Linked DNA regions of Rattus norvegicus. The protein of the gene in region 6 purifies or fractionates together with the protein of the main gene of each other region. This does not show direct contact. Links are inferred from orthologs where the notes say so. Each region holds a gene or a part of one and is shown on either strand. Other genes may lie near its edges.

Region 1 (3,500 bases), on a different chromosome or scaffold from region 6:
TAGCTCAGACTGAAGCCCAATTTCAAGAATCATTCCTTAGAGTGTTACCTTCAAAATCAGTAAAAAAAAAACAAACAAAAAAAAAAATCTGACTTTTCAGGTAATTTTTTTAAATACATTTATTTAGATAGAGTGTATGAGTGTGTGTATTGGTGTGTATGGCTGTGTATGTGGGTATATGTATGTAAGTGTGAATATGTGGCATGTGTATGTATATCTCTGTGTATGTATGTGGCATATAGATATGTATGGCTAAGTATTGCGTACATGTACTATAGAGGTATGTATGTGGTGTGTATGGATCAGTATTGTGTATGGGTATCTGTGTGTGTGGTATATATTGCTGTGTATATTGTATATGGTGTTTATGTGTGTATAAGCCAGAGGACAAGTTGCAAAAATCAGTTCTCTCCTTTGATCATGTGGTCCCAGGGAGTAGACTCAGGTCATAAGGCTTGGCAGCAGGTACTTTCCCTGCTCAGCCATCTTTCCTGCCTTGCTTATGAAACTTTTGGATAAGAAATTTAAATCAGGGCTAGAGAGATGGCTTGAGATGGCTCAGCAGTTAAAGCACTGACTGCTCTTCTAGAGGTCCCAAGTTCAATTCCCAGCAACCACATGGTGGCTCACAACCATCTGTAATGGGATCTGATCCCACTTTCTGGTGTGTCTGAAGACAGCTACAGTATACTCGTCATATATATAAAATAAATAAATAAAATCTTTAAAAAAAGAGAGAGAAGAAAAAAACATGATATGATTCATTAGGCTATTGATTGTCAGGGAACATTGAGTTCTTCAGTCAGAAAGTAATTCTGTTGCTTAAGTGGAAGATAAAACACAAAAATAGGTTTCTACATATCTGAGCAGACTAACATTGCACTTCTGACTTGACTCTTCTTCTTGACTCTTGACTTGTCTTTGGACAGTACTCTGAAGAACACTACATAATTTATATTATGTAGATTAATTATGGTCATAATAAAAAATATCTCCTTTATCTCATTAGTTTGGATACTAAACAGAGCAATGATAAAAAATCCAAAGTCAAGTTGAAACATCTGCACTTGGGGAGTCGGTGAAAGTTGTCTCCTCCTCCTATGCTAGCCTCTTAAGTGTTGGAATTAAAAGCATGTGCCACCATGTCTGGCCAAAACAGTTTATTTTTTACCAATGAAAAGAAAAAAAAAAATTACAATTTTGTTAATTAGCAACTTACTGGACTGAACCACTGCTTGCGTCTGTTCAGACGTTCCAGATGCAATGTTTGTCAAAGCCCATGCAGCTTCAAACTGTAAAGAAGGACTACCAAAGAACAAGTGACTTTTAAACCATACATCTCATATCACCTACATGTCTACCAACTATTCCTTCTCTCTAGTATTTGAAATGTCTTTCCAGCCTTAAAAACATAACCCAATTATTCCATTCTGAAAGTCAGACTTCCTTACTTAGATATTTACTTTTATATTATTCCTTAGTTTTCAACTACTTATCATGCCAGTTTTCAAAGTTTACAAGTTAAAAATAATTTTCAAATTTGTTTTTGGTTCTTACCTTGATTTTAACTTTCAATTCTATCCCACAACCTTTTCCTTTCTTTTTTAAAGAAAATCTCTCTTGAGCTAGAGAGATGGCTCAGCAGTTAAGGGCACTGGCTGCTCTTCCCGAGGTCCTGAGTTCAAATCCCAGCAACCACATGGTGGCTCACAACCACCTGTAATGGGATGCCCTGTTTTGGTGTGTCTGAAAACAGCAACAGTGTACATATATACATATACAAATTTTGTTAATTGGCAACACACATATGTATATATATATACATACATATAAATAATTAATTAAGTAAGTAAGTCCTATTTAAGAAAAGAAAACCTCTCCCTACAAAGCCCAGGCAGGCCTTGAGTTGAGGCTTTCTAACTTCTCAGATCACACACATATATCACTATACTTGTTTGGTTTCTGAAACAGGGTTTCTAGTGTCCAGAATTGCCACTGAACTCATTATGTTTAGCCAAGTATCACTGTGGACTTCTAAACCTCTTACCTCCACTTTTTGAGTCTTTTCCCTTTAAAGATTAAACTAGAAATTTTACCCTTTCTAAGGAACACACTGAAATTGAAAATAATAATAATTATATACTTACTTGTCATCTCTTTCAAGACAATGAACTAAAATAGGCAATATTCCAGATTTTATTAAGTCATCAATTGGTGGATTTCGATCACTGGATAAAAGCTTCCTGTAAGATAGATACCACTTGTAAAACTTAGTGACATGTATTACAATTAAATTCAAACTGGATATAGACATTGTAAATCTGAAGAGATGGCATAAGTATTCTTGGAAAGCTACTTATACTTTATACAATATTTTCTCTAATCATGAAGATCAACTAATAAATTAAATTTACAAATAACTAGAAAAATAGAGTAGAAACTTTGCTACTTTTATTAGCATAACACTACTCTCTCACCACAGTTCTGAATAGGGCAACTATAAAAGACACCTCCTGTCTCTCAAATAGAAAAATAGGCACCAAGCTTTTATTTTTTCTTGTTTAAGTTCCATAAAAACACTTTATCTTATCTTCCTCGGTATCTTCAGCATGTCTTTTGAGTATTTTTTTATATTTCTGTATTTACTCCTTTTTAAGTTGCTGTATAATATTGTTATAATAATTATGTTTCATAATTAATAGTGAGTGTATAGACTAGGATGAATTGAACACTATGATCACTTTAAACATAGCACATTCTGTGCGTGTTTGTTTGTATTTGTTTGTTTGCTTCTTAAACATAGTTTCTCACTATGTAGTCCCAGATGTCCTGGAGTTCACTATGTAGACCAGGCTGGCCTCAAGCTCACTACTCTGCCTCCTGGGTGCTGGAATTAAAGGAGTGTGCCACTGTGCTAAGCACAACTAAAAATTTTTATGTGCAATGTTCATAGATCATTTTAAACTCAGAAAAAAAGTTAGACACACTCAACAAAACATTAACTCTGCTAAAAATGAAATTAATAGGTTTTCAAAATAACCAAAATTATGCATACTGGGGCATATAAAAGACAAGGGTCAAAGGGTGGTATGTTTAAAGCGATCACAGTGTTTGTCTCATCCTACTCTATACACTACTATCATGAAAACCAAACAGTACTTTTTATCTCAGGACCTTTAAAAAAGAAATAAATATAGCAATCCAAGAAAATACTCAGAAGATATTGAGGAAAAACAAGATAAAGTCTGTTCTCATGGGATCTACAGAGTAAAAATAAAAGATTCGTGCCCATTTTCCTATGTGAGAAAGTGCAGGTTTAATTGTACGAAGTATCCTAACAGAAATCTTTTCCTTACTGGAACTTGCTGTACAACTATGTAACAATGTGGCTTAAGAAAGTCTAGTTAGGCTGGAGAGATGGCTCAGTGGTTAAGAGCACTGACAGTTCTCTTGAGGTCCTGAGCTCACTTCCCAGCAACCAAATGGTGGCTCACAACCAT
Region 2 (3,500 bases), on a different chromosome or scaffold from region 6:
GGGCTGGCTCTCCCCTCCCCTGCTTTTGCACATTCCTTCAGCTCTCTTTTAGAACTGCTCACTGAAAATATGAGTCGAAGGCAGTTTCTGTCCCCTCCCCCAGCAGATTAACAGATTAACAGTCTGTTCTCTGCTGGGTGGAAGGAGCCGTTGCCACTGAGATGGACTGGGAAGCACAAAGTGCTTAGTTCTAATGCTTCACCAGGTACAAATCCTAGCAAAAATGAGGCATGGTCATATCAATGAAAGATAAGATAGTAGTTTCGGAAAATAAGCAGACAATATAAGAAAAATTTCTATTACTGTTACCACTTCTTATTTGAATGAACTGAAGTCTGCTTAAGTTATTAGCAGGAAAGAAAAAATTACTTTCAAATATATTCTTGATAGAACTTGACTTGAATGTTCATTTACCTTGTCTACACCAGCACTTAGGATGAAATTTCCTTTCTTATTCCATTTTAATGCAAATATAGGACCTTTATGCTGCCCCAAGGTGCTGGCAAGATTACCTAAATTAAAAAAGAACAAACAACAACAACAACAACAAAAAACTTTAAAATTACTTTAAACTTTATAACTTAGAACATCAATAAAGTTAGAAAAATTCATACCATCTTTAGTCCATATTCTGGCAAATCCGTCATATGACCCAGTTGCTAGAAGTGTACCTTCACTCTGGCAGAGAAATACATTTTGTTTATTACACAATCCAAAAGGCCATTTAATTACTACACACACAGTGCCTGTTGAAGTTCTGGGCACAAAAGACCCAGATCTCTGTGTGAGTGCCAACAAAGGCTGGCAAAACCCTGCTCGCAGATGAAGCCAGTGTCCTCAGACAGCCCACCCAAGGATGAGCACTGGCAGGCAGCACTGTGGAGCAGGACTGCAGTTCCTCCGCAGAACATTTTCACAGAGGACCATGAGTGAGGATGCAGCAGGTATAGACCAGGAAGGACAACATAAAAATGATACTCTGAGGATGCTTTTTATAAGAGGTAAAAAGTAAAGCCTTCAATTTATTTTTAAATTTTGATTAGGATTTTAGGAATATGGAGCCAGGTTGAAGCTAAAATTGGGACCTAATCTCCAGATTATAGTATGTCGAGTCCTCAAATGTCTTCATTCACAGACCACCTATGCAAGAAAAGAACACTCACATTCCAATCTAGAGAGGTGACATCCTTGTTACTGGGAACGTCCTGCCCTCCTTCCCGTATGCAGTGTCTAAGCACCAGCTGTGTGGGGCCACTTGTGCTGTTCTCACTGAGGTTCCATATTCTTGCAGTGGAGTCTCCAGACCTTCAGAGTCAAAATATCAGCTCAAGTCCTCATATGAGCAAGCATTCCACAATCTAAGCCACACATTTAGCATGAATAAGAAGTAGACTACTGGACACAAACATTTTAATATTTTTCTTATTTTATATTTTAGAGCTTCTACTAAGTAACAACTTCACAAGAAATACTAATCTACCAAGGCAAGATGATCATAAGCAATCAACAGAAGTGACTATAAAGTGAAATATATTAACAAAAACATGTAGCAGCCTATTTGGTGAGGTATTCTTAAATACCACGATAGTGCTGGGCATGGTAAAGCCCAGGACACAGGTGGGTCAACACGTCAAGTTAAACAGCAAATCCTGTCTAAAACCAAACAAAATGCTCAACAACTAGAAAGCTCTTTGAAAAACCTACCCTGATGCCAGGAGATCACTAACAGGGTTCCAGGCACAGATGAAAACTTCCGATTCATGGCCCCGAAGCACAACCGCTTTATTGGGAGGGATTTCCACATCCCCGTCCACCTCCATCATGTCCGTGTGATTATCTGCATCGTGAAAAGTAGCAGTTCTGTCAGAAGGGAAGCACATGTCTGGCAAGTATGACGTGCTAGTTTTAAAAGTGTGAGTATCCCGGAATGTGTATGTGAAATGGTAAAAAGAAAGGGGGAAAAAAGGTTATACCTCAGCAAGGCTGAATTAAAGTCTGTAACAATACTATTCTGAGTTCTGCCAGTAGGGGTTGCTGCTATCATTCATACAGCACGAGTCATCTTTATTCCTCAATGTCAGAGCCTTGTTGGATGTTTGTAACAGAGACTATTATAAATTTTACTTAGAAATCAAATGCAGATGCAAAATGCACTTAAGAGTAGAAAAAGGCTTCAGAAACATTTAAAAAGGAACGAACATTCAGTTCATTTAGCTTTTGGAATCTTAGGTCTGTAATCTGAAGTGTGTTGATGCCAGTTGGGGTAGAGGCAAACACCGGTTATCAGTGTAGCTTCTAAGGGTGGGCACTACAGTAGAGCAGTGTGTGCTGACCATCTCCAAGCATTCTCTGCTCACTTGCGATGGTGTGTGCTCCATTCTCCTCCCCATTGGCTGTGTTCTCTCCATTTTTCGCAGAGCCTTGCTGGTTAGTGGCTGCGGCAGCAGCTGCAGCAGCGGCTGCATGTTGCTGTGCAAGCTTGTCTCTGTAGGCTTGTTGTCTTGTTTGGACGACATCGGGCATGACAGCATCTATCAGGGACAGAGACTCTATGGGTCGACCATCAAATAAGGTGCCATCCTGGGGTTGAAAAACAGGGAAAGAAAAATGAGATGTAGTTGTCAGGTTGACATATACTCCATTAACAAAACGAAAAACTTCATTCTGAGGAAACCATGAACATGAGCAAGAAGGGGGAAGGGAGCAAGAATGGCACTGCAAGAGTCAAATGCAAACAGCCACCAACTGTCACCTAAGGTCCTCATCAACTCTGCACAAAGACAAACCAATACAAGAGGCCATTGGCAAAAGGTTAAAGATAATAAAATGCATACTATAACATTCAGGTAAGGGAAGCTGCTAGTAAGAAACACTGACCAATATGAATATGTCATACAATGAGAAGAAAGTACCCAGTACTTGCATCTGCATTCTGCACCCAGGCCTTGGGATGATGCACCTATCCTGACCTGGAGCAGATCTTTCTCTTATGGGTTTTCTCTAAACACTACAGGATGATCATATCATATAAGTGATCTAAATGCATGATATTGTATGACATACAAATGATATTAAGTGTAACCTAAGAGAACCAGCAGATAATGCTAGCTATGGTGGTGTAGGACCTATCCCTTAGGAAAACAAGGGACTGGACTACTTTAAAGAGCTAAAATCTTTTCACTTACTTTTACCAAAAAAAATGGGGGGATGTGGGGAAGAGACCTTCTACATATTCTGTGTTCTGGCCATACACTAAACATTGTAGCTACAACAAAGTTCCACTCAGAAAGAACATGCAATGTGTGCTTATTAATGCTTTGAAGGGCATAACAGCCTTGTTACAGTTCCTCATGATCCCAGTGACAGTCCAGAAGTAAATGAGTCTGGCTGTGCTACAAGGCTGATTTATACAATCAGGGAGCAGATAAGATTGCCTCAGGCAACAGTAGCATGCCTATACCTGAAACAAACACACTACTTACACATGCAGCTCTGAGCAT
Region 3 (4,008 bases), on a different chromosome or scaffold from region 6:
TAATAATCGCAACTACTTAATTATAGTGCTAACTCATAGTATGACTCAAATGCAGCACAGCTTTTAATGGGAAAAATAAATTTAATATGGCTGGCATCTCCTCTTAGTTCTGTTTAAAACCACAATAAAGACCCTAAATTAGACCAGACCCTAGATTACCCTTCCACTACATTTCTAGCATCCACCCACTCCCCAGAACCCCTTAGCAAAGCAGTCCCATTGCAGTTCTAGGAACTTCGGAAATTAGTAATCTTCAAATCACAAAAGCCTATCCCCTTCTTCGACCCTGCCCTTCCCCTTCCCCAGTTATCACCTTTTCATTTCATTCATTTGCTTATTTTTTGAGGTAGGGTGCCCGCCGGTTCAGGATGACCTTGAACTCCTAACTTGCCGCTATCCCAACAAGTGCTGAGATTACTGAGGGCGCACCAAGCTTTTCTTTGACTCTTCAGGATCAGCTCATTCCCATTTATCTGTCAGAGATCACTCGGACGCCATCTTTGTTTGCACTAGTCACCCAATAGTCACTTAGCAAATGAATGCTCTCAGATGTTACCAGCACGCTACAGAAACGTGCAATTCTATATCGAAGAATTCTTCTTGGGGTTGGGGATTTAGCTCAGTGGTAGAGCGCTTGCCTAGGAAGCGCAAGGCCCTCGGTTCGGTCCCCAGCTCCGGAAAAAAAGAACCAAAAAAAAAAAAAAAAAAAAAAAAAAGAATTCTTCTTCTCTAGTAAAGGAATGCACCACTTCTAAGTGGTGAGGATTAAATGTTCTTGGTATAGCACACCAATGTATAGTTCTTTGTGTCTGCCACAAAGAACTACCATTTGAATGCCTATTTCATGTCCTAGTTATACTGACATAGGCTTGGACATGAAATGTTGTAAACAAAACCCGACAAAATGGCAACTGTCCTTTTCATGTATCCACAAGCCACTTGTCACCTTCTAGTAAGCAGCAAGTAGTTGCTGTGGATCTATTACATGCAGAAGTCCTCACTAGTTATCATTTAACAAACAGGACACAGAACTCAAACGAATCATGACAAAAACTTACACCAACATCCAGAAAAGGAAAGAATGTACAAGCAATAGAGTATCCACGTAAACTATTCAGGTTTTGCTTACAGTAATAAGAGACAACCTCAAGAACAATTACTGGTGGGACAAAGTGTGGTGGCCCACACCTGTAATCCCAGCACGTGGGAGACTGAGGCAGGATTATTCTCTCTGCTTAACCAGCCTGCCCTGTAGTTAAAGCCTTGTCTCAAAAACAAAACAAATGAAAAGCAAGAGAGACCACACACACGCCACATACACATACACATACACATACACATACATACACACACACACACACACACACACACACACACACACACACTCTTACCAAAAAAACAGACTGATGGATGTTCCATTTGCTAGGTTTCACTTTTGTTTGGAATTCTCATAAAGAAACTTAAATGTGATCAGGGCAGAGATAGAAAACCTATAGTCTCACTCAAATGGGAATTCCACAGATATTCCCCCAGGTTCTTTCCAGTTCATAATTAATTTTGTAGCTCTGAAAAATGGTCCAGGTTCGTCTGCTTCTCAACCAAACCAAACCCTGTATTTACTAACTAGCCTCTTACCAAAGACTACTAGACTATACAAATCATATTACCTACTATTAGAATAGAGAAGAGGATATGGGCTCAAAACTATTTCCCCCATCAAATCCAGAGGTTGGGTCCCAGTGAAGTTTGTGCTATTACACTTCATTGGTTTTAGTAGGAGCAGAGAGACCTCTAGCGCTACCTCAATAAGCAGAGTTTGCAAATAGTAGCTGCTAATGTCACCTTAATGAGACAATGGCAACATGCTGAGTAGCAGCAAACTGAGTGACCACAATGAATGTTTACAGTTTTGCAACCACTTGGAAAATCTACTAGCTTGGTGGCATGTGGTATACACAAGGACGTAGGAATCTATGTATCCAATTTATTTCTGCAAAACAGGTCAAAGAAATTATTTTCCTATTATTCACACTTCCACTCCAAAACGTGCTTTAGAAAAAAAAAAAATCCCAAGATCAGAGGTCTGCACAACCTCCTTCCCAAAGCTTCAACACAATAGACGGTAAACTATTGTCCACCTTTAGCTCGCTCCAAATGCCAGCAGTCACAGGGGTATGAGCTGCAACAGCTCGGGAAGACTGGTCCAAAGGACAGCACTGGAATATAAGAAAATGGTCTTGGCGCATCCTACCCTCCCCCATCCACCACCCTCAAACAAGTCAGTTACCCGGCTGGTCCCCACCCCCCTCTGAGGGCTGCCACCGCCCGCCTGGGCCCGGCTCGCACAAGGTAAGCGCGGGGACCCAGGCTCCATGTGCGGCAGCGCGGGAGGCTGCACCGGCTGCGGACACGAGCGGCGGCCCGGCCCCGGCGGTGCGGTCGGCACGCGGGGCGGCAGCATCCCGGTCCGTCCTCCCGCGCGGCCCGCGGACCCCGCCTCGGCTCCACATCCCTTCCCCTCCGACGCCAGGCCGCGCCCGCGCAGCGGGGCCGAGCGCTCAGCGGTCCCAGGTGCCGCGCTAGCCGCTCAGAGGGCGGCTGCTGCCCGGGCCGCGGCGCCCCGAGGCGGCGGCCAACTCCGACTGACCGCCAGCCGGCGAGAGCCAGCGGCCGCGGGCCCCCGCCCCTCCCCGCCCTACCCAGCCAGCCGCGGAGCACACTCGCCTCCACATCGCGGCCCTTGTTCTTGAAGCTCTTAATGCGGTGGTTCTCCAAGCCGGGGTTCTCGGCCATGGCTGCGCGCGGCTCCGGAGGCGGCTGCTCCTGCGGCGGCGGCGGCGGCGGCGGCGGCGAGTCGAGCGGGAGGGGACGGAGGGGGAGGAGCGCGCGCTCCGTGACGCTTGGAGCGCGAGGTGGCCGCGGCGCGGGGGCGGCGCTGAGGAAAGGCGCGCGCCGGAGAAGGCCGGGGCGCTGGCCTGCCGGCTGTCGCGTTGACCCTACCCTCACCCCTTCGCCGGGCCTCCCCACAGCAGCTAGTCATGTGCTAGAAATGGAGCCCGACCTAGCAGCTTTTACCGCCACCCCTGAAGCGGGGCGGAGGGCGCAAACTACAATTCCCAGATTGCCAGGCGCGGGTCTGAGCCACGGTGTGAGAGGACGAGAAGCATGCCGGGAGGGCTGTGCGCGCGCTTTCGGCTAGGCGCTCTCTGAGCGCGGGCTCGAAGCCCCACCTCTGGGCGGGCTGGTGGGCGGGGCAACTCTGGAGATGGCACCTTGCAGCCTATCCGGAGAGAGAGGCGGAGCTCCGGGGGCGCACCTTGCTTTCTACAGCTTCGAAAATTAGAAAAAGAACGGCCACGCGTGCTTTGCGCTTTTGGCTTCTTTAGGGTCTCCTCAAATAGCAGCCACCCTCAAACCCTGTTCTCTGCTTTGCTTCGGTTTTATAAATAGCACGCTTGTTTCCACTCCACAAATACATGTGAGTGTGATGTGTGTGTTTATGATTGCTTCCTGCACCCGCTATTAAACTCAATGAGAAAAGAGACACTGTTGGTCTCAAAAATCTGTCAGATCAAAACAGTACCTAGTAAATTCTGATTTTAAAAAAAAAGTGTTCTAGCATCCCCTGATTTCTCCAAGCATCCTTGTGCAACCTTCACTTTGGCAGCCCTACCTTTCTATGACCTGATGCTTTAGTCTACCTAACACAATGTAGCCTTCAGGACCTAAGTCTGCAGACTCCAGATTGTCAACTCCCTTTAGCTTCCTGTTGGAACAATAACAGTTTTTTTGTTGGTTTTGGTTGGTTAGTTGGTTGGTTTTGTTTTTGTTTTTACAGCAAGATAACCTTATTAGATTATATATGAGTATTACATTTCAGAATTGTCTTAATTAGGGTTTCTGTTGCTGTAAAGGGACACCATAATCATGGCAACTCTTATAAAGGAAAATATTTCATTGGGGCTGGCTTACAGTTCAGAGGTTGAGTCCATTGTCATCATGGCAGGA
Region 4 (3,500 bases), on a different chromosome or scaffold from region 6:
GTGACTTTATACCAGCTTCATCGTCCCACAGGAACCCTCACCAGGGAAACCCGATCTCTCCATTGGGTGAAGGTTCTGGGGCACATGTCCTCACCATGGTAACTAAAGTGTCAGAACCACAGGCAATGCTACAGGAACAGCAGGCATGGATGCAACATTCACCTCGGGGCACTCGACTGTCCGGGGCTGTCACAAGGCAGGACGGAAAAGGCCAGCGACTGCTCTTTGCTTGCGTGTGCTGGTACATGCTGTCATGCCCGCGAGGTCACAGGCTGAGACCAGGGTCTTCCTCCATTGCTCTCCATCTTAGCTTTTAGGACGCGGTCTTTCCCTGAACCTAGAGCTTCCTGTTTGGGCCACACAGCCTAGCTAGCAAGTTCCTTTAGCTCTCCCTGCCCACAAGGCACACAATGGAATTGGAGATGCGGGCTGCCACTCAGCTTTAATTTGGATGCTGCGGCTGCAAATGCTGGCCCTCACTACTTGCATAGCAAACGCTTTATCTACAACCATTTCCCAGCCCCAGGGTTGTTCTTGATCTCCAGCTCCAGGACCTTTTCTCAGTACAACTGAGCACAGGTCTATACCACTGTGGACATCAAGGCTCTGGAATCTATCTATCCACTCACAATCCCTGTCTTCCCAGGTGACAGACTCCAGCTTTCTGAAGACCCTTGGAGTTAAGATAAAGAAACCCCAAGTCTCAGATCCTGTCACTAAGCCACACACCCTAACTATAACCAGAGCCTCACCAGATGTGACAGTTCTCCCACCCTCCACTGTCTCTCCCCACCCCAGCCTCGCCTTACCACGCCTGATAAGAACTGACAGGCAGACAGCCGTGGGTCACACTGTGGTACCCGGGTCAGGTAGGAGGATGCGGAGAATCACCTGCTCTGAATGAATACTCCCGTAGCCAGGGCTCAGGCTGGGACACGGAGGAAGGGTCTCACGGCGTGCACTCCCTATACTACCACTTGTGCTTCTGAGACAAACACACTGTCCCGCTCCTTCACCTAGGAAGGGACACGAGCGCCTCGTCTCCCAGGGCTTAGTCACCTTTTCTCTGAATGGGAACATGCATGTGCTGGTGAGATGCAGGCTTAGGGTCTGACTTAGAAGAAGAGAAGCCCACCTGTCAGCTGGTCTGCATCAGTAGAACTCAATACAGGGCTCTGGGTCAGCCCCAGCCCCACACTGGACCAGCAGAACCAGGACACCTGGCCTCTGCGTGCCAGCGGCGGCACTGCACGCAGCAGCAGAGCCAGACAGGATCGCCTTTTCGAAGTCTGCCAGCTCTGGAGATATGGGAAAGCAGTTTCTTCCCACAGTCCAGAGGGTCACAGCCTGGAGCAGACGGAATCTTTATTCTGCTAACGGACAACATGGCAGCCCAGCAGTGCCAAGGTGACGGGGTGTCCAAAGCTGCTTCCTCAAAGTAGTCTGTCCAAACAGCAAGCACCAGAATGTGCCCACAAGGAGTGGGCAGCCCAGTCCACACAGGCCAGGATGCCCAATTCAGTGTCCCCAGGCTCAGGCAACCTCAAGAAGGCTTTGCTGTGGGTTTAGGCTTCTTCCCCCTGTGCTTGAAGTCACGCAGTGGGTTCTGGGTCTTCACCTTCTACAAGGGCAGAGTCGAAAGTCAGTTTGGGGAATCAGTCAGACGGTCCCAGCAGAGTGAGCAGTGCTGGCACCTGATCAAATCCCTGTGCCACAAGCCAGAAACAGCCAGCGGCTGCAGACAACGTGAGGGAGACCACTGATGGCAGAACAGGGCCTTCAGGCATCTGTAGGGAATACCACAACCCCACACCCACTCCTGGGAGTCCTTTCCCTCCCTCAGACTGCTGAAGGTGGGTGAAGGGCAAGGCGGAAAGGAACCCTGCTACCAGGAATGGCAGGAGACATACCTTAGCCTTTCTAGAGAAGGGCATCTTTCTCCGTTTCTTTCGAGGATGTACAAGGCCACGAAGAGCGGCAGGAACTGGAAGAGAGGCTGGACTTCAGGGATAGCCTCAGCTATTCAGCTGTAGCTTCGGCTACACAGCTCTGTCTACTCCGGGAGCCTGGCTTCCAGTGTTGGCCCACTCCCTTCTCAGCCTACCCTGTACACCTACAGCACGGACTCCAATCCAGCCCAGCAGCCGTGGTGCACACCTTTAATCCCAGCACTCAGAGGCAGAGGCAGGAGGATCTGAGTTCAAGGCCAGCCTGGTCTACAGAGTGGGTTTTAGGACAGCCAGGGCTACACAGAGAAACCCTGTGTCAAAAAGCCATAAAGAAAGTAAAGAGTTGGGGGGCGTGGACAGAAGGCAGAGGAGTATCCAGTACTCATTTATTACACGTGCACAGATGAAAGATTAAAGTTAGCTCCATAGGCTCCCACTGCCTATCTGAGTCATCTCTGTAGTATTTAGTGAAAGGACACAAAACAAGGAAAGAGAGGGGCTGCAGAGATGGCTCAGTGGTTAAGAGCACTGGCTGCTCTTCCAGAGGTCCCCAGTTCAATTCCCAGAAACCACTCGGTGGCTCACAGCCATCTGTAATGGGATCTGATGCCCTCTTCTGGTACGTCTGAAGACAGCAACATATAAATGAAATAGAGAGAGAACCTATGACATATTCAGCAGCAGCAGAGCATGTGTATAGCACAGAGGGGTGGGGGGGATGACACCTTTAAGGATGAGGCATTAAAAAGAGAGAATTCGGGCTGGAGAGATGGCTCAGCGGTTAAGAGCACCCGACTGCTCTTCCAGAGGTCATGAGTTCAATTCCCAGCAACCACATGGTGGCTCACAACCATCTGTAAAGAGATCTGATGCCCTCTTCTGGTGTATCTGAAGACAGCTACAGTGTACTTATATATAATAAATAAATAAATCTTTAAAAAAAAAGAGAGAATTCAAGGGTTGGGGATTTGGCTCAGTGGTAGAGTGCTTGCCTAGCAAGCACAAGGCCCTGGGTACAGTCCCCAGCTCGGGGGGGGGGGGGGGGGGGGTTCAGAGGGTGGTTACTGCCCCTCCCCTCCCCTCTATATCTACCAGAACTTCAAGATCTCGAGATCCCAGCCTCACAGCACCCACTTCAACCCCATCAGGACAGGCCACATCTAACCCTTCACGCCTCCCCTGGCCACGCTCTTAGTGAGCGACTTGGCTCTTAGCAGGTGCTTTAGGCCGAAGGGAGCCTCCCAGCATTTCTGACACAGACCAAGGGTGATCTTCTCTGGCTCACTGTCCCTCAGCACCTGCCTCCAGCCCTTTCCTGGGCCCTTTCACACTTGCACCTCTTCTGCCCTAGTATGTCCCTCCCTTACCTTCCTGTCATCTTTTTTGTTTTGTTTTTTTTTTCTCTACATAGCCCTGGCTGCTGTGAAACTTGATCTGTAGACCAGGCTGGCCTCAAACTCACACAGATCGGCCTGTCTCTGCCCCTGGGTGTTGGGATTTCCCAGCCCTGCCTGTTACTCCCAAGGCAGCAACATGGCATCAGCAAACTGA
Region 5 (4,300 bases), on a different chromosome or scaffold from region 6:
CTTGGATAATGTCAGGTCAATAAAGTCCTATGATTAAAGAAAATAATTAAGATGAAATTCAAACACATGTACTTTCTAGCCATTTGCTTATAACCATAAAACATTAGTCCAGTACTATATGGTTTAAACTACAAAACTTATTTTTTCAAAAATCAATTGTTTTATATACAACTTGGGTCATCTTTACAGTTTCTGGCCCTTATGAAAACTTGCTACCCACCACCAACACTAAGACAGTTGAGAGACTCGCCACACTCCTCAGGAATGCCTGACTGAAAGGGCCGGTGCTGGTGGTGTCCTTTAGTGCCAAAGCCCTGCTTTAACTATGCCCTCACTCAGCCCCTACACCAACCATGACCAACCAGGCCACACCTTACAAACACCCAGCCCCATCCATCCCTGATAATGAGGGCATGCTCGACGTGTCCAGCCACCCCCAGGACCCTCGTTTGGAGTGGCTGAAAACCCTGTGAATACTCCCAACTGATGGAGGAGGCCCCTCCCTAGTCATTCCTATAAATCTGCCCAATGTAGAGGAAAGGACTTGCTAATGGTTGCTGAAATATATTTTAACCCATGTTTTTTTAATACTATTTTAACTTGCAAACTCCTAAGAAAACTCAAGAATAAATCAGAAGAAAAAGAGACAGTTCTTCAATTTCAAGGACATTGTAGTTGTGATTTTAAGGGGTTATAAAATGAAAAATCTAAAACCCACCATCTAAAATTCCCTATGTATGTTGAGGAGACTGAGGATTTGAGCTATTTGTCCCTATTCACTTTTACCCAACCATACAAAACTGTTCTCCTTTCCCTTGATCACTTCCATTACCTCAACAATATTGCTCGTGTCCTGTAATAAAGGATAGAATGAACAACAATGGTGGACAAAGCAGTGAACTAGGCGCCAAGATCCCGTGAAGCAAAACCAAAGGCAAGCAGGTAATCGCAATAGTCTGCCAGGGATTATGAAGAGCATGAACACTCAGGCCTCTGTTCCTCCCCTCTGTTCCTTACCATGGTCCTCACATCTTTAGGGAGACAGTAAAAGTTGCCTACTGAAAAGTTTCTCCAGACTCTCCCTTTTATCAGCATGTTTTTGTTTGTTTGTTTTGTTTTTCTGAACAGGGTTTCTCTGCCTGTAGCCTTGGCTGTCCTACAACTTATCTTGCTCAGTGTACACCAGGTTAGCCCCAAACCCAGAGATCTCCTGCCTTTGCCTCTTGAGCACTAGGATTAAAGGCGTACATCAACACTGCCCTGTTCTCCCTACATTCTTATGCTATCCCAAATCCCTGATACTTACAGGAGTTTACAGTCAGAGTTTCTCCCCACACGCCCTCACCACAATAGCTCTCAAACAGATATCTGAATTCATTATAAAGTGGTACAGTGCTTGTGTATAGAAGAATCCACATACATATGTCATATATTTAGGGAATGTTAGTGCATGGAGGCTCATGCCTTTAATCTTAACACTCTGAAGCAGAAGCAGGCATATTTCTTTAAGTTCCAGGCCAGCCATGTCAGCTTAGTAAGACCATCTCCAAAAAGAAAGAAAACAAACAGATAAACAACAAAAAAGGGAAAATAAAGTCTGTGCACATTAAATGTGGATGCAGTTTTCAAATAGTGTTCTTGGTCTGCGGTTGGTTGAATCTGGATTTGAACTCAAACACAGAGGGCCAAATGTATTTCACACAGTTCTCCATGATACTGCAGTGGGTCTAAATGCATTTTGTTATTCCTTCAGAAAATGATTCTTAAAGACGTAGACTATTCTTTTGAGTGTCTATACACAGAACCTAGCACACACTTTTACAAAAATACCCCATACTCTTTAGACTTGAGTTATTTCCAACCACCGAAGGATTCCCATCGCCTATTAATACATATGCTAACTTAATCTGTTTTCTAGCAGCAGAACTCCTTCAGGGCAACAGAGACACATGCTGCGTTCAATTCTTTACTAGGTCAATTATATTAACAAAGTTCAGAACAAGCTCTTTCATAAAGGAAGATATCGAAAATACCCACACTGCTGTAAATTTAATGACAGTGACATTGGTTCCTCTAGTTGATCCTGCGATTCAATGCCCATGGCTTGCCAAAGAAACACGTGTATCTTTTTAGGTTCTTTAGCCTAACTAATAATACTCGACATTTGGAAGGAACGTATCTTGCTACGTCACATAAATTTGGCCTTGCGTGCTTAAAACCAATTGCATTTTCTAAATCCAACGACAAATGACAACTACCTAGAATTTTTTAGACCGTGACAGCACGAATCAAGTTTTACTTAAAAGGGAGGATACTACGTTGAATCTAGAATCCTAAAGCAGGGGTCTCACGACGCTCACCACTAACCACTCCAGGCTTCCTGCCTTGCTCCTTACTGCGGCCAGCACCCAGACACTTTGTCACGTCGGCAGGGCACAGAAGAATAATAGGTCCTGGAAGAGTTCTGAGGTCTTGGAGGGATTCTAGGATTCAGGGCACCCATGGACAGAGGGAGAGGGGTTTGGTTCCAGAGAGTGTGACTGATCTCCGAGAGTGCCGAGGACAAAGCCTAACAAGTGGAGCTCGGGTCTGAGGGCCGAGTGGATCCAAGGCGTCCTCCCTCCCCCGGTCTCGGGGATACAGAACTAAACCCTCCCTGGAGACTTGTCAGGGGAAGGGAGATAGGCGGGAACGACCTCGATCACCCCTACCTTGGCTGACGGCACCACCGTAATCTTCTTGAAGTTGTAATGCGCCATGCCGGCGGTGGAACGCACGAGGAAACCTGGAGAAGCGGAGGACCGGACTTCCGCCGTCAAGAGCGGGCGGGACTTCCGCCGGCGGGGTTGGGCGGGACTTCCGCCATTCGGCTTGACTGAACTTTAGCTGCAGGGCTCAAGCATTGCATCATTTCCTGAATGTCTGCGAGGCGTGGCCCGCGCGTCCGCCCGGACGTGCTCCTCGACAGCGCCCCCACTCGGCCGTGAAGTCCGCGGCCGAGAGATAAGGAGACCGGATGAGCTGCTGTGGAGATCGGCTGGGTTTGAGAGGTGGAGGGTGGGGAATAACCTTGCGGGGTGAAGGAGATACTCCAGGCTGGCCACCTTGGCGGGGTCTCAGGAAACACTCCCCTCACCCAAGCAAGCCTCAGGGCTCCAAAGGCTGTTCGCCACCTCTGGGGACGCCGTGGTCAGGGCAAGTGACATGCAGGAAGACATAGAGCGGGGCTCTTGCATCACTGTGTGTCCCCTGAGCAACAAATGCTGTCGCCTGGCACTGTGGAAAGTTATTTATTGGAGTAAATAATGTTGACAGGGACTTCTGACGATAGAAAAGACTGCATCCTTCCAGGTGGCTCGAGCTCCCTCTCCTGACCTTGCAGCCTCGCGGTGGTTTGAAGGCGCTCAGCCTTCATCTGGCATGGGCCAGTGAAAAAAACTGCCCCGCACAGCTGCCCTGAACCCAGGACCAGGACATAGACAGAGTCTGATCCGTACAGAATTACATGGATTGAAGCCAACTTTCCCATATTTGTTTTCCCTATCATTTTAATTAAGCCACCGTTTTTTTGTTGTTTTTTTTGGGGGGGGGGTTGTTTGTTTGTTTTTTTGTTTTGGATCCTTGGGAATCCTGCCAGCCTCCATCCAGCTACTCTTGCCTCCTGATTATCTTGTAACTTAAATGACCCTTTTTCGGGTATTGCTGTCCCCTTCAAACCCTTCTCCCTATTTCTGTGACATCCATCATTTTGGTACATGATGTCTAGAATCCAGTCTTCTTTGCTAATTTCCTGCTGTCTCTCCCTAACTAGATACTCCTCAAAGTTCTTCCTCTTCAGAGTCTCCTTTCTGAGTGGTGGCTTCACAGCTCCCATGTGGACTACTATGATACAAGTTTCTTTCAGCCTGGTTTCTTCCTCAATTCCAATCAGACATTTCAATCAGAAGTGAAATCTCCACCCCACATGACTCCAGAAATGTAAATTAGGTATATCTGAAAATAAAGAGCATTTTCTGCTTTTCTAACTAAATGCATCCCTCTGTGTTGTTGGGAAGGACAGCCTCACACTCTGATTCCCACCAGAGTTCAGAACAAGGCGGACCTAGAGCCAAGAGCAAGATTGACCAGAACTAAAGACCTTGAAACAAAGTTAGTAGCTGAGGCCTTGGGCAGAGGTGAGGCATAAAGAGTGGTCCCACTGATGATAAATCCCTGGAACAGGAGCAGAGAAGGAAAATTATGGGATAAGGCAAAAGAGCTGCATGTGGTCCCACACAGTGGGTGAGCAGAATCTAGGGAT
Region 6 (3,159 bases):
CCAAGAGTCCTATATAGTTTCTCCTGCGTCACACCTCCCAGTCCCTCAGATTGGGAGTTGGGGTGGTGTAAAAGTCAGGGAAGCTATGGACAGGGCATCAGTGGCACCAAAAATGGGAGTGTCCTCTCAATTGCCCTCTCTAATGAGCACACAGGGGATAGGGGTGGGGTGAGGAGGGAGGGGGTTGTTGTTGTGGGGAGTGCCTGGTCAACAGCTTGTCTGGTCAGTAGTATCTGCAGCAAGCCTTGTTGAAGGAGCCTAGTTTAGAAAAGTGCAAAGCTACTTCTGGCCCTGGTTAGGTCTTCAACCTGACTGTGCTTGTCGGTAAGAAAAACATCCCAATGCTCCAACTACTCCCACCCCGAAGCCACGAAACTCTAAGTTTACTGAAAGAAAAAAAAATATTTTTTATTTCAGTTAATCGGGAAGCTTTGTCAGAGCCCTACCCATAAGGAGAAGAGACAACAGCTGCCTTTATTCTTGTTGGTTTGCTTTGCAATCCGCTCTATGTAAAGTCAGCTAACTCTCTCGGTCACGGGCGTCCGGCTGTCCACAGGCTCCTCTCTGTTTGGCCTCGGCATGGAGGATGAAACAATGTCTTTGCGCTCTCCCTCCCCTCGGTGTTTGTACTTTTCTGCAACTGTGGTGGTGGTGGTGGTGGTGGTGGTGGCGGCGGCAGCAACCATGGGCTGAGTCTTAGCTGGCTCCTTGGGGCAGCCATCGCTTTCCAGTGAGCCTGCTCGGGGCATCTTCTCCTCTTTGCAGATGCTGCTGCTCAAGTCCTGAGGCTCAGGGGGGCTGATGGGGTCCTCAGAGCTCTGAGGCTCAGGTGGGGGTGGAGGTGGAAGCAATGGCATGGGGGCCTTTGGGGACTCTGCGTGATGGTGGTGATGATGGTGCTCCTTCTTAGGTGGTGAGGAGGCACTGCTGCTGCGCCCCTTGGGGCTGCTCTCCTTGCTTTTACGCCCAGGGCTCTTGCATGTCTTCAGTCCCTTTCCACTCTTCTCACCAAGTGTAGACACCAGCAGGGGCTTCACCACCTCCTTGACCTCAATGCTGACGGTTTCCCGGGTCTTGCGCTTCTTGATGGGGAGCACAGTCTCCTGCACAGACCGTATAGAAGATTCCTTCACAGCTTTCTTTTTGGCCTCTGCAGCAGCAGCTGCCACCACACTCCCAGGCTTTCTACCCCGTTTCTTAGGAATGGCCTGGGGGTCAGCTTCAGCTTTTCGCTTTCTGCCAGGGCGTTTGATCACCATGACCTGCGCAGATGTGGTAGCCCCACCTCCCTCACCCTTACCCCCAGGTGATGCTTGGAAAGGCATCTTGACGAGAAGTTTCCCAGGGCTCTTCTCCAGGACCCTTTTCACTTGAACACCTTCTGATGCTGCTGCCTTTGGTCTCCCAGTGCCGCTCCCTTTCGGGCGTCCCCGACCCCTGCCAGTTCCTGGAGCTTTGGGAGATTTGGGCTTCTTAGGTGGTTTCTGTTCTCTCCTGGAAGGGCTCCCTCTCCCAGTTACAGTGAAGTCAAAATCATTAGGGTCCAAGGAGGTGTCTCCCACCTTTTCAAAATATGCAATCAATTCTACTTTAGAGCGAAAGGCTTTTCCCTGGGGACTGTAGAGACAAACAGAGAGACAAACAATAGTCAGAAGCTTTTTGATAACGTAGAGACTGACTTAGAAAATGTAGTACTGACAAGCTTTCTTCTAAGACATTGTAAATGAACAACAAACTGAAGTGCTAAAATTATTGGAGGGCACACCTAGGTCAGATGCATAGTAGAAATCATGTTACAGCTTGCTCAGAAGCCAATGCAGCTGAATCTGAAAACAGAGGACCTGCCCACTTTCAAGCACACTTCTCTGTACTTCCTGCTTCTCCACAATACTGAAACCAAACGGGTGAGGCCTGGTACTTGGTGAACATTGGGCTGGGTCCAATCTGTTGGTTGGTACCCAGACTTAACCCAACACCAACACATTTCTGCATTTTAACCAAGGCATGATGTCCAGCCTCTTTGGGAAGCCATTTCAGTGCAATAAAGCTTTTGCATCCTAGCCTTCCCACCCACCTGGCCTTCCCTGTTCTGTAGACACAAGACTTGCTCTTACTTACTTGATCAAATATACATCATACTTTCCAGCAGAGCGACCAGACTTCCTCTGTTTAAGCTTTCGCGTCCAACCTTCAGGCAAGGTGGGGTCATCATACATAGGTCCCCGGTCACGAATGATGGAACGTCGCTGTTTGGGAGAAGCAGAGGCTTCTGGTACTGCTGGGGCAGAGCCTGAGCTTTCTGATGTCTCTGCTTTGCCTGCCTCTGCTGGCTCTGCAGAATGGTGGGCTGAAGGCTGTAGTGGTTCATGTTTGCCCTCTTTGTCTTCCTTCTTGTCTTTCTTCACCTTCTTAAACTTCAGGGGTTTCTCTTTGAGGCCCTGGAGATCCTGGTCTTCTGACTTTTCCTCCCTGAAGTATTAAACAAATATGTAAGTATTACAGAGAGCATAGCTGTCTGCACAGTAGTGAGTATAGGTGAGCTTGAATGCCACACATGAGACCCCTGGCTGCTGCATACTCTCTCTGATTTTGGTAACTTCCCTAGGACAATGTATCTTTGGGCCAAGCTGGGGCCCAAAGATTTCTTTAGCAGCTTTAGGTAGTTGGTGATGTTGGTCAAACACATTCAACTTTTATCATACTTCTCCAAACCCTAGTTCTAATGCTCTTAAAGTGGCACATGTTTTTTTTTTTTTTTAATTTTTTTTCTGGAATATAAGCACTGTAGGGCTGGCTTCTTAACATACCACTGTCAGAAGTCAGTTTGTAAGTTGCACCTAATGGCCCCTTGGGCTTGCCACATGACAAGACAAAACATGTAAGATAAATAAAATAATACAGCAAAGCCAGAAAAGGGCATTGGATCTCTTGGGACTGAAGTTACAGATGGTTGTGATCCACCCTGTGATTGCTGGGAAATGAATCCAGGTCTGCTGGAAGAGTAGCCAGAGCTCTTAACTTCTGAACCATTGCTTCAGCCCCCTGACTTTCCAATTCAAAGCAAGGACTGCAGCAAGAGATTTCAGCAGTGTAAGCCCCAGTTTCCTCATCTCAACATTAGATAATATAATCTCATCCCTGATGCATTCTTTTTGTGAG

The links.
Region 1: the proteins of Mecp2 (region 6) and Kpna4 purify together in Homo sapiens (affinity purification with mass spectrometry; 3 studies listed by BioGRID and IntAct, counting the BioPlex papers as one, with this or other methods). This does not show direct contact. The link is inferred for Rattus norvegicus from reciprocal best matches to the Homo sapiens genes MECP2 and KPNA4.
Region 2: the proteins of Mecp2 (region 6) and Tbl1xr1 purify together in Homo sapiens (co-immunoprecipitation; 3 studies listed by BioGRID and IntAct, with this or other methods). This does not show direct contact. The link is inferred for Rattus norvegicus from reciprocal best matches to the Homo sapiens genes MECP2 and TBL1XR1.
Region 3: the proteins of Mecp2 (region 6) and Kpna3 purify together in Homo sapiens (affinity purification with mass spectrometry; 3 studies listed by BioGRID and IntAct, counting the BioPlex papers as one, with this or other methods). This does not show direct contact. The link is inferred for Rattus norvegicus from reciprocal best matches to the Homo sapiens genes MECP2 and KPNA3.
Region 4: the proteins of Mecp2 (region 6) and Ddx56 purify together in Homo sapiens (affinity purification with mass spectrometry; 3 studies listed by BioGRID and IntAct, with this or other methods). This does not show direct contact. The link is inferred for Rattus norvegicus from reciprocal best matches to the Homo sapiens genes MECP2 and DDX56.
Region 5: the proteins of Mecp2 (region 6) and Gtpbp4 purify together in Homo sapiens (affinity purification with mass spectrometry; 3 studies listed by BioGRID and IntAct, counting the BioPlex papers as one, with this or other methods). This does not show direct contact. The link is inferred for Rattus norvegicus from reciprocal best matches to the Homo sapiens genes MECP2 and GTPBP4.

The regions. Positions count from the first base shown.
Region 1 is NC_086020.1:155,656,252-155,659,751, forward strand, and holds part of Kpna4 (importin subunit alpha-3), read right to left. Parts: intron 2,244-3,500; coding exon 2,148-2,243; intron 1,306-2,147; coding exon 1,220-1,305; intron 1-1,219. UniProt on the Homo sapiens protein: Functions in nuclear protein import as an adapter protein for nuclear receptor KPNB1. Binds specifically and directly to substrates containing either a simple or bipartite NLS motif.
Region 2 is NC_086020.1:106,831,665-106,835,164, reverse strand, and holds part of Tbl1xr1 (F-box-like/WD repeat-containing protein TBL1XR1), read right to left. Parts: intron 2,581-3,500; coding exon 2,358-2,580; intron 1,838-2,357; coding exon 1,705-1,837; intron 1,306-1,704; coding exon 1,164-1,305; intron 679-1,163; coding exon 615-678; intron 513-614; coding exon 415-512; intron 1-414. UniProt on the Homo sapiens protein: F-box-like protein involved in the recruitment of the ubiquitin/19S proteasome complex to nuclear receptor-regulated transcription units. Plays an essential role in transcription activation mediated by nuclear receptors.
Region 3 is NC_086033.1:39,783,328-39,787,335, forward strand, and holds the start of Kpna3 (importin subunit alpha-4), read right to left. Parts: upstream 2,801-4,008; 5' UTR 2,794-2,800; coding exon 2,725-2,793; intron 2,718-2,724; exon of another isoform or gene 2,262-2,717; coding exon of another isoform or gene 2,139-2,261; intron 1-2,138. UniProt on the Homo sapiens protein: Functions in nuclear protein import as an adapter protein for nuclear receptor KPNB1. Binds specifically and directly to substrates containing either a simple or bipartite NLS motif.
Region 4 is NC_086032.1:85,326,263-85,329,762, forward strand, and holds part of Ddx56 (probable ATP-dependent RNA helicase DDX56), read right to left. Parts: intron 1,985-3,500; coding exon 1,911-1,984; intron 1,622-1,910; coding exon 1,544-1,621; 3' UTR 1-1,543. UniProt on the Homo sapiens protein: Nucleolar RNA helicase that plays a role in various biological processes including innate immunity, ribosome biogenesis or nucleolus organization. Plays an essential role in maintaining nucleolar integrity in planarian stem cells.
Region 5 is NC_086035.1:65,997,883-66,002,182, reverse strand, and holds the start of Gtpbp4 (GTP-binding protein 4), read right to left. Parts: upstream 2,801-4,300; 5' UTR 2,760-2,800; coding exon 2,712-2,759; intron 28-2,711; coding exon 1-27. UniProt on the Homo sapiens protein: Involved in the biogenesis of the 60S ribosomal subunit. Acts as a TP53 repressor, preventing TP53 stabilization and cell cycle arrest.
Region 6 is NC_086039.1:156,940,744-156,943,902, forward strand, and holds the end of Mecp2 (methyl-CpG-binding protein 2), read right to left. Parts: intron 2,470-3,159; coding exon 2,119-2,469; intron 1,618-2,118; coding exon 516-1,617; 3' UTR 501-515; downstream 1-500. UniProt on the Homo sapiens protein: Chromosomal protein that binds to methylated DNA. It can bind specifically to a single methyl-CpG pair. It is not influenced by sequences flanking the methyl-CpGs.